2 linked regions of the Saccharomyces cerevisiae S288C genome follow. The protein of the gene in region 1 binds, or shares a complex with, the protein of each later gene. Each region holds a gene or a part of one and is shown in the gene's direction. Other genes may lie near its edges.

What was found.
Region 2: the proteins of GPA1 (region 1) and STE2 are in contact, whole or in part, in a cryo-EM structure (PDB 7AD3), measured with the Saccharomyces cerevisiae proteins. Residues at the interface, in NP_011868.1 of Saccharomyces cerevisiae: Ile310 (codon at 2,812), Gly311 (codon at 2,815), Ser312 (codon at 2,818), Ser313 (codon at 2,821), Phe315 (codon at 2,827), Asn434 (codon at 3,184), Tyr438 (codon at 3,196), Val439 (codon at 3,199), Gln448 (codon at 3,226), Lys451 (codon at 3,235), Phe452 (codon at 3,238), Leu454 (codon at 3,244), Ser455 (codon at 3,247), Ala456 (codon at 3,250), Thr458 (codon at 3,256), Asp459 (codon at 3,259), Ile461 (codon at 3,265), Ile462 (codon at 3,268), Gln463 (codon at 3,271), Asn465 (codon at 3,277), Leu466 (codon at 3,280), Lys468 (codon at 3,286), Ile469 (codon at 3,289), Gly470 (codon at 3,292), Ile471 (codon at 3,295), Ile472 (codon at 3,298); in NP_116627.2 of Saccharomyces cerevisiae: Thr78 (codon at 2,167), Pro79 (codon at 2,170), Ile80 (codon at 2,173), Phe148 (codon at 2,377), Gln149 (codon at 2,380), Val152 (codon at 2,389), Ile153 (codon at 2,392), Thr155 (codon at 2,398), Gly156 (codon at 2,401), Asp157 (codon at 2,404), Asn158 (codon at 2,407), Phe159 (codon at 2,410), Lys160 (codon at 2,413), Lys225 (codon at 2,608), Ser232 (codon at 2,629), Arg233 (codon at 2,632), Phe235 (codon at 2,638), Leu236 (codon at 2,641), Leu238 (codon at 2,647), Ser243 (codon at 2,662), Phe244 (codon at 2,665), Leu247 (codon at 2,674), Leu289 (codon at 2,800), Ser292 (codon at 2,809), Ser293 (codon at 2,812), Ala296 (codon at 2,821), Thr297 (codon at 2,824), Lys304 (codon at 2,845).

The regions. Positions count from the first base shown.
Region 1 is NC_001140.6:112,886-116,801, reverse strand, and holds GPA1 (guanine nucleotide-binding protein subunit alpha), read left to right. Parts: upstream 1-1,884; coding exon 1,885-3,303; downstream 3,304-3,916. Other genes in the region: protein transporter TIM10, read left to right, coding at 901-1,182; Nem1-Spo7 phosphatase catalytic subunit NEM1, read left to right, coding at 3,708-3,916. UniProt on the Saccharomyces cerevisiae protein: Alpha subunit of the heterotrimeric guanine nucleotide-binding protein (G protein) that mediates mating pheromone signal transduction.
Region 2 is NC_001138.5:80,645-84,474, forward strand, and holds STE2 (alpha-factor pheromone receptor STE2), read left to right. Parts: upstream 1-1,935; coding exon 1,936-3,231; downstream 3,232-3,830. Other genes in the region: GTPase-activating protein GYP8, read right to left, coding at 1-1,268; BST1 (Bst1p), read right to left, coding at 3,501-3,830. UniProt on the Saccharomyces cerevisiae protein: Fungal class D1 G-protein-coupled receptor that acts as an alpha-factor pheromone receptor performing pheromone-dependent signal transduction involved in cellular conjugation, mating projection assembly, and in cell fusion.

The DNA.
Region 1 (3,916 bases):
TTTAACAATGTCCTAACAATAATTTCAACAGTTGCCAAACCTCAAATAGTGTTGGAATAAAAATCCACTATCGTCTATCAACTAATAGTTATATTATCAATATATTATCATATACGGTGTTAAGATGATGACATAAGTTATGAGAAGCTGTCATCGATGTTAGAGGAAGCTGAAGTGCAAGGATTGATAATGTAATAGGATAATGAAACATATAAAACGGAATGAGGAATAATCGTGATATTAGTAAATAGAAATATAGATTCCATTTTGAGGATTCCTATATCCTCGAGGAGAACTTCTAGTATATTCTGTATACCTAATATTATAGCCTTTATCAAAAATGGAATCCCAACAATTATCTCAACATTCACCCATTTCTCAAATAGTATGTTTTGGTGTTAAAGAAGAACATTGGAAACAAAGGAAAGGTAAGCATTAGCCCGGAAACAAAACAAGAGGAAGTAATATACACCTTTTTGGTTAACTTGTTCGTTCAGAAGAGCCCAAGTATGTAATTATTTTTTGCAAATCTTTCCTCAGTAACGATAACGACACGAAGGTAATATTTTAAAACATTTATCAACAAGTCACTAAATATAATCTGGGTCCTATCACTATTAGAGCTTCTATGGCCAAGTTGGTAAGGCGCCACACTAGTAATGTGGAGATCATCGGTTCAAATCCGATTGGAAGCATTTTTTGCATTGATTTCCCAATTCGTAGCTGATGATCACCCTCTGAAGCTATCGGACATTTTTTTTCTTTAATTTTTTCAGCGAGAGAGCTGGCAGTGAACGTACAAGAGCAAGCTCTCTAAAGAACTATTACTCTCCTCGTTCCCCTCTCATGTCTTTTAACAGATAAACAAGCAAAAGAAGGAACTATCATACTTAGAAAAACATGTCTTTCTTAGGTTTCGGTGGTGGTCAGCCTCAATTATCATCTCAACAAAAGATTCAAGCTGCGGAAGCTGAACTAGATTTGGTCACAGACATGTTCAATAAATTGGTTAATAACTGTTATAAAAAATGTATCAATACTTCTTATTCCGAGGGTGAGCTGAATAAGAATGAATCTTCGTGCCTAGACAGATGTGTGGCCAAATATTTTGAGACCAATGTTCAAGTCGGTGAAAACATGCAGAAAATGGGCCAATCATTTAACGCAGCCGGTAAGTTTTAGAAATGTGCATTAAAGCAGTAATGATAAGACGAAAATAAGAAAAGAAATCCATAAGCTGTTTTACTCGACTCAACGTTATAATTAGTATTATTGATTCATATCCTGTATATACAAGTAACATTATACTCTTTTCTGTACTTCATCTTTACCTTTTTATCTTACATGGCACATGTTGTTTGAAAACAAGATCATAGGTGGATAAAGCAAGCCGAATCTAAAAAAAAAAAAATGTCTCTATTGGAAAACTGAATGCATAACGATATTCCCTTTTCATGCAGATAACACTGACTAGTTTCAATTTGAAACGCATCTTCGTGTTATTTCACCGAAACGCACTCGGCTCAGCATGTTAAAAAGCACATCAATTTAGGGCTCTGCGCGTCCTTCTGCGTATTCTTCCTTGTAGAAATGCAATTAAATGGAGAGCAGAAATTTTTTTGTTACATATTGTTTTCCTTAAAGGGAAATATTAAAAAATAGTCTAAAATGAAGAGGATAGTAGAATTCCACCAATTTCTTTACGTTTTATATTATTCGTAATCTTTTGATCTGTTATTCATTTTTTCTTGTCACTCCGTTTCTAACATTTTTGACCATTTCTAAGACCAAACTGAGTAGAAGCTATTCATACTGTAAATTGGTATTTTAGCATCACATCAATAATCCAGAGGTGTATAAATTGATATATTAAGGTAGGAAATAATGGGGTGTACAGTGAGTACGCAAACAATAGGAGACGAAAGTGATCCTTTTCTACAGAACAAAAGAGCCAATGATGTCATCGAGCAATCGTTGCAGCTGGAGAAACAACGTGACAAGAATGAAATAAAACTGTTACTATTAGGTGCCGGTGAGTCAGGTAAATCAACGGTTTTAAAACAATTAAAATTATTACATCAAGGCGGTTTCTCCCATCAAGAAAGGTTACAGTATGCTCAAGTGATATGGGCAGATGCCATACAATCAATGAAAATTTTGATTATTCAGGCCAGAAAACTAGGTATTCAACTTGACTGTGATGATCCGATCAACAATAAAGATTTGTTTGCATGCAAGAGAATACTGCTAAAGGCTAAAGCTTTAGATTATATCAACGCCAGTGTTGCCGGTGGTTCTGATTTTCTAAATGATTATGTACTGAAGTACTCAGAAAGGTATGAAACTAGGAGGCGTGTTCAGAGTACCGGACGAGCAAAAGCTGCTTTCGATGAAGACGGAAATATTTCTAATGTCAAAAGTGACACTGACAGAGATGCTGAAACGGTGACGCAAAATGAGGATGCTGATAGAAACAACAGTAGTAGAATTAACCTACAGGATATTTGCAAGGACTTGAACCAAGAAGGCGATGACCAGATGTTTGTTAGAAAAACATCAAGGGAAATTCAAGGACAAAATAGACGAAATCTTATTCACGAAGACATTGCTAAGGCAATAAAGCAACTTTGGAATAACGACAAAGGTATAAAGCAGTGTTTTGCACGTTCTAATGAGTTTCAATTGGAGGGCTCAGCTGCATACTACTTTGATAACATTGAGAAATTTGCTAGTCCGAATTATGTCTGTACGGATGAAGACATTTTGAAGGGCCGTATAAAGACTACAGGCATTACAGAAACCGAATTTAACATCGGCTCGTCCAAATTCAAGGTTCTCGACGCTGGTGGGCAGCGTTCTGAACGTAAGAAGTGGATTCATTGTTTCGAAGGAATTACAGCAGTTTTATTTGTTTTAGCAATGAGTGAATACGACCAGATGTTGTTTGAGGATGAAAGAGTGAACAGAATGCATGAATCAATAATGCTATTTGACACGTTATTGAACTCTAAGTGGTTCAAAGATACACCGTTTATTTTGTTTTTAAATAAAATTGATTTGTTCGAGGAAAAGGTAAAAAGCATGCCCATAAGAAAGTACTTTCCTGATTACCAGGGACGTGTCGGCGATGCAGAAGCGGGTCTAAAATATTTTGAGAAGATATTTTTGAGCTTGAATAAGACAAACAAACCAATCTACGTGAAACGAACCTGCGCTACCGATACCCAAACTATGAAGTTCGTATTGAGTGCAGTCACCGATCTAATCATCCAGCAAAACCTTAAAAAAATTGGTATTATATGAAGGAACTGTATAATTAAAGTAGTGTTTAGATACGTAAATTCTGTTTCCGAAGATGCAAGAAGGAGCAGCAGCACCAGAAAAAATTACTATTTTTCTTCTCCATTAGAGTCTATGATGGAATGCCAAATGAAAAAGCCATTTTGTTCAACAGTTCTTGATCTCGTTAAATCGTTCCGGGTTTTCAATTGAAAAACAAGGGTAATAAAATCGCATGAGAAAAAAAAGGTCCAGACACTTTTTTAGAAGAAAAACTCTTGAAAACAATTGATTCTTCTACGTAAGGACAGGGTATTATCTCGAATTCTTCTCCCTGGTAAATACTCGGGATATATAGAACCTATTTTGCATCCTATTCTCACTTTTCTTTATTGTTGTTAATTTCTGGACATTGTTTCATTAATTGAATGAATGCCCTAAAATATTTCTCAAATCATTTAATAACTACAAAGAAACAAAAAAAAATCAATGTTGAGGTGACAAAGAATCAAGATCTACTAGGCCCTTCAAAGGAAGTTTCGAACAAATATACTAGCCACAGCGAAAATGATTGCGTTAGTGAGGTGGACCAACAGTACGACCACTCCTCAAGCCACTTAAAAGAATCTGATCAAAA
Region 2 (3,830 bases), on another chromosome or scaffold:
GGTAAAAAATGGCCAAGTCTTTGGACCAACGCCCTTGTCTTGGATCTGGCGGCGACACCATGATACTTTTCTTCCTTGTAATGCTCGTTCATCTTTGTTTGTTCGCTCAAATAGAAGATAATGGTGCTCATATCGAAGCATCCTGGCTTTCCACATGCTGTATTGAGTAATGCACTATATTTATTAAGACTCACCCGTTTCAAAGCCTTCTTGCTGGCAGTAGTCGCATCTTTTCTAGTTATTTGCAAGACTTCTTCCCAAAGCGCCTCATCATACAGTTTTTTCTGTAAAACTGTTTGTATAGCACCATGGCGCAGGTCAAAATCGTTCTCGAAGAAATCAGAATTAGCTTCTATTTGCTTCGAAATTTCAGACGCATTTTGCAATAGCAGGTTCTTGTATATGATCAAAGGTAAACGCATAGATTGCATCGATATTGTCATGTCAAATATCTGGAAAAGAATTTTATGAAGATTGTTGTCACCGCTATCTATAGGTTTCAAATTATGTGCAAAGATTGTCAATATTGACCCAATAGCGAAAAGGGGCTCATTTTCGTCAAATTTGAATAGATTATAGAATTTCATGTTTGATTCCTTTATCAATGAAGAGATTACTCTCAATTGCTCAAATGAAAAATCTAGTGAGTTCATCATGAAATCCCTCAGATATAATAGGGTAAATGCTTCGATGCAATAAAACAGCCTTTCCATATCAATTTCTTCTTGCAATGAGAGATTTTCTAGTTCCAGTCCGTTCTCTTTTGTGACATTCCAACTAAAACACATGATGAAAACAGACACAATATCATGATAACCTTGGTAATAGTTCAACGTTGGGTACTTTCTCAATACCCGAGTAATTAACTCCACCAGTAGTTTTCTCAATTGCAGTTTCAAGTTTTTGTCGACAATTCCACCAAAAGACCTTTCTGCATCCAATATCACCTGACCTTCATCTTTATGTTTTTCCACTGGTGTAATGTACTCTGTTGCATCATCAATAAGCAACTGGGACGCCAATAATTCATACCAACAATCTTTTCTTAATGAGTTGTTTACAAACCCCAGAGGCCCTAAACCTATGTACCTCAAAGCTCGGACATCTTTTTTCTCTAATAACTTTGATATAACTTTTCCTTTTTGTTCTTCTGCCTTTCCACTGTCACAACGAGAAAGTGATTCCAGATATGCGTTATAACCTCCCCTTGTCAACGCGTCTTTGTCGTGGCTACTCTGATTAGTATGAAATAATGACCTTAATGGCATCGTATTTTGTTAATTGGCTTGTTCTATGTCATTTGCTAAATTTTCTCTTTATTTCTTTACTTTGCCAATTCAAGATAATCTTCCCTTCCCAGAGAGAAAAAAGGAAAAATTTAGCTATGAAACCTCAATAAGCTTTTTAATACACCAAAGATTCAAGATAAGAGCATAGAACGAACTGTAGAATAGTCCGGATATGTTATCCAATGCCTGCCAAAATGCATTGTCACACGCTGTAGTGCTCGAATAGGTGTTGCAATCCGTCAATATACGTCTTGCTCTGTGGGTAAATGTCTCGTGCATTAAGACAGGCTAGTATAAACGAGAAGAAGTATCCTGCTTTGCAATGAAACAATAGTATCCGCTAAGAATTTAAGCAGGCCAACGTCCATACTGCTTAGGACCTGTGCCTGGCAAGTCGCAGATTGAAGTTTTTTCAACCATGTAAATTTCCTAATTGGGTAAGTACATGATGAAACACATATGAAGAAAAAAGCTTTCCTACATATTCAAGATTTTTTTCTGTGGGTGGAATACTATTTAAGGAGTGCTATTAGTATCTTATTTGACTTCAAAGCAATACGATACCTTTTCTTTTCACCTGCTCTGGCTATAATTATAATTGGTTACTTAAAAATGCACCGTTAAGAACCATATCCAAGAATCAAAAATGTCTGATGCGGCTCCTTCATTGAGCAATCTATTTTATGATCCAACGTATAATCCTGGTCAAAGCACCATTAACTACACTTCCATATATGGGAATGGATCTACCATCACTTTCGATGAGTTGCAAGGTTTAGTTAACAGTACTGTTACTCAGGCCATTATGTTTGGTGTCAGATGTGGTGCAGCTGCTTTGACTTTGATTGTCATGTGGATGACATCGAGAAGCAGAAAAACGCCGATTTTCATTATCAACCAAGTTTCATTGTTTTTAATCATTTTGCATTCTGCACTCTATTTTAAATATTTACTGTCTAATTACTCTTCAGTGACTTACGCTCTCACCGGATTTCCTCAGTTCATCAGTAGAGGTGACGTTCATGTTTATGGTGCTACAAATATAATTCAAGTCCTTCTTGTGGCTTCTATTGAGACTTCACTGGTGTTTCAGATAAAAGTTATTTTCACAGGCGACAACTTCAAAAGGATAGGTTTGATGCTGACGTCGATATCTTTCACTTTAGGGATTGCTACAGTTACCATGTATTTTGTAAGCGCTGTTAAAGGTATGATTGTGACTTATAATGATGTTAGTGCCACCCAAGATAAATACTTCAATGCATCCACAATTTTACTTGCATCCTCAATAAACTTTATGTCATTTGTCCTGGTAGTTAAATTGATTTTAGCTATTAGATCAAGAAGATTCCTTGGTCTCAAGCAGTTCGATAGTTTCCATATTTTACTCATAATGTCATGTCAATCTTTGTTGGTTCCATCGATAATATTCATCCTCGCATACAGTTTGAAACCAAACCAGGGAACAGATGTCTTGACTACTGTTGCAACATTACTTGCTGTATTGTCTTTACCATTATCATCAATGTGGGCCACGGCTGCTAATAATGCATCCAAAACAAACACAATTACTTCAGACTTTACAACATCCACAGATAGGTTTTATCCAGGCACGCTGTCTAGCTTTCAAACTGATAGTATCAACAACGATGCTAAAAGCAGTCTCAGAAGTAGATTATATGACCTATATCCTAGAAGGAAGGAAACAACATCGGATAAACATTCGGAAAGAACTTTTGTTTCTGAGACTGCAGATGATATAGAGAAAAATCAGTTTTATCAGTTGCCCACACCTACGAGTTCAAAAAATACTAGGATAGGACCGTTTGCTGATGCAAGTTACAAAGAGGGAGAAGTTGAACCCGTCGACATGTACACTCCCGATACGGCAGCTGATGAGGAAGCCAGAAAGTTCTGGACTGAAGATAATAATAATTTATGATCAAAATTTACGGCTTTGAAAAAGTAATTTCGTGACCTTCGGTATAAGGTTACTACTAGATTCAGGTGCTCATCAGATGCACCACATTCTCTATAAAAAAAAATGGTATCTTTCTTATTTGATAATATTTAAACTCCTTTACATAATAAACATCTCGTAAGTAGTGGTAGAAACCACCTTTGCTTTTACGAGTTCAAGCTTTTTTCTTGCCATGATCTAGAACTCTCAGGCAATATATACAGTTAATCTTTTTTTACTGGGTTGTAGTTCTAATGTATTGTTTCGAAAAATAGCAACCAGGCACATATTATGTTCACCAAGTGGTGTATCCAGTACAGATTTCTTATTCCATAAATGAAACTGAAAACGGTTAAGTACACAAATAAAATGATGGTAACTTTACCATCCCACGTGTCTAAAGGTACGCTGTTTGGCATTTTGAAAATAGAATTATTTCCAACCAAAAAAATAATTGGTGCCACTGCTAGTATATTGTGATGGGATCTAAATGAAGTTTCCCATTTGATGGCAACATTATGCAGGAAAACAATAATGATAGGGATGTTAATGGCACTAACAAATAATAAAAGCAGAAGCAA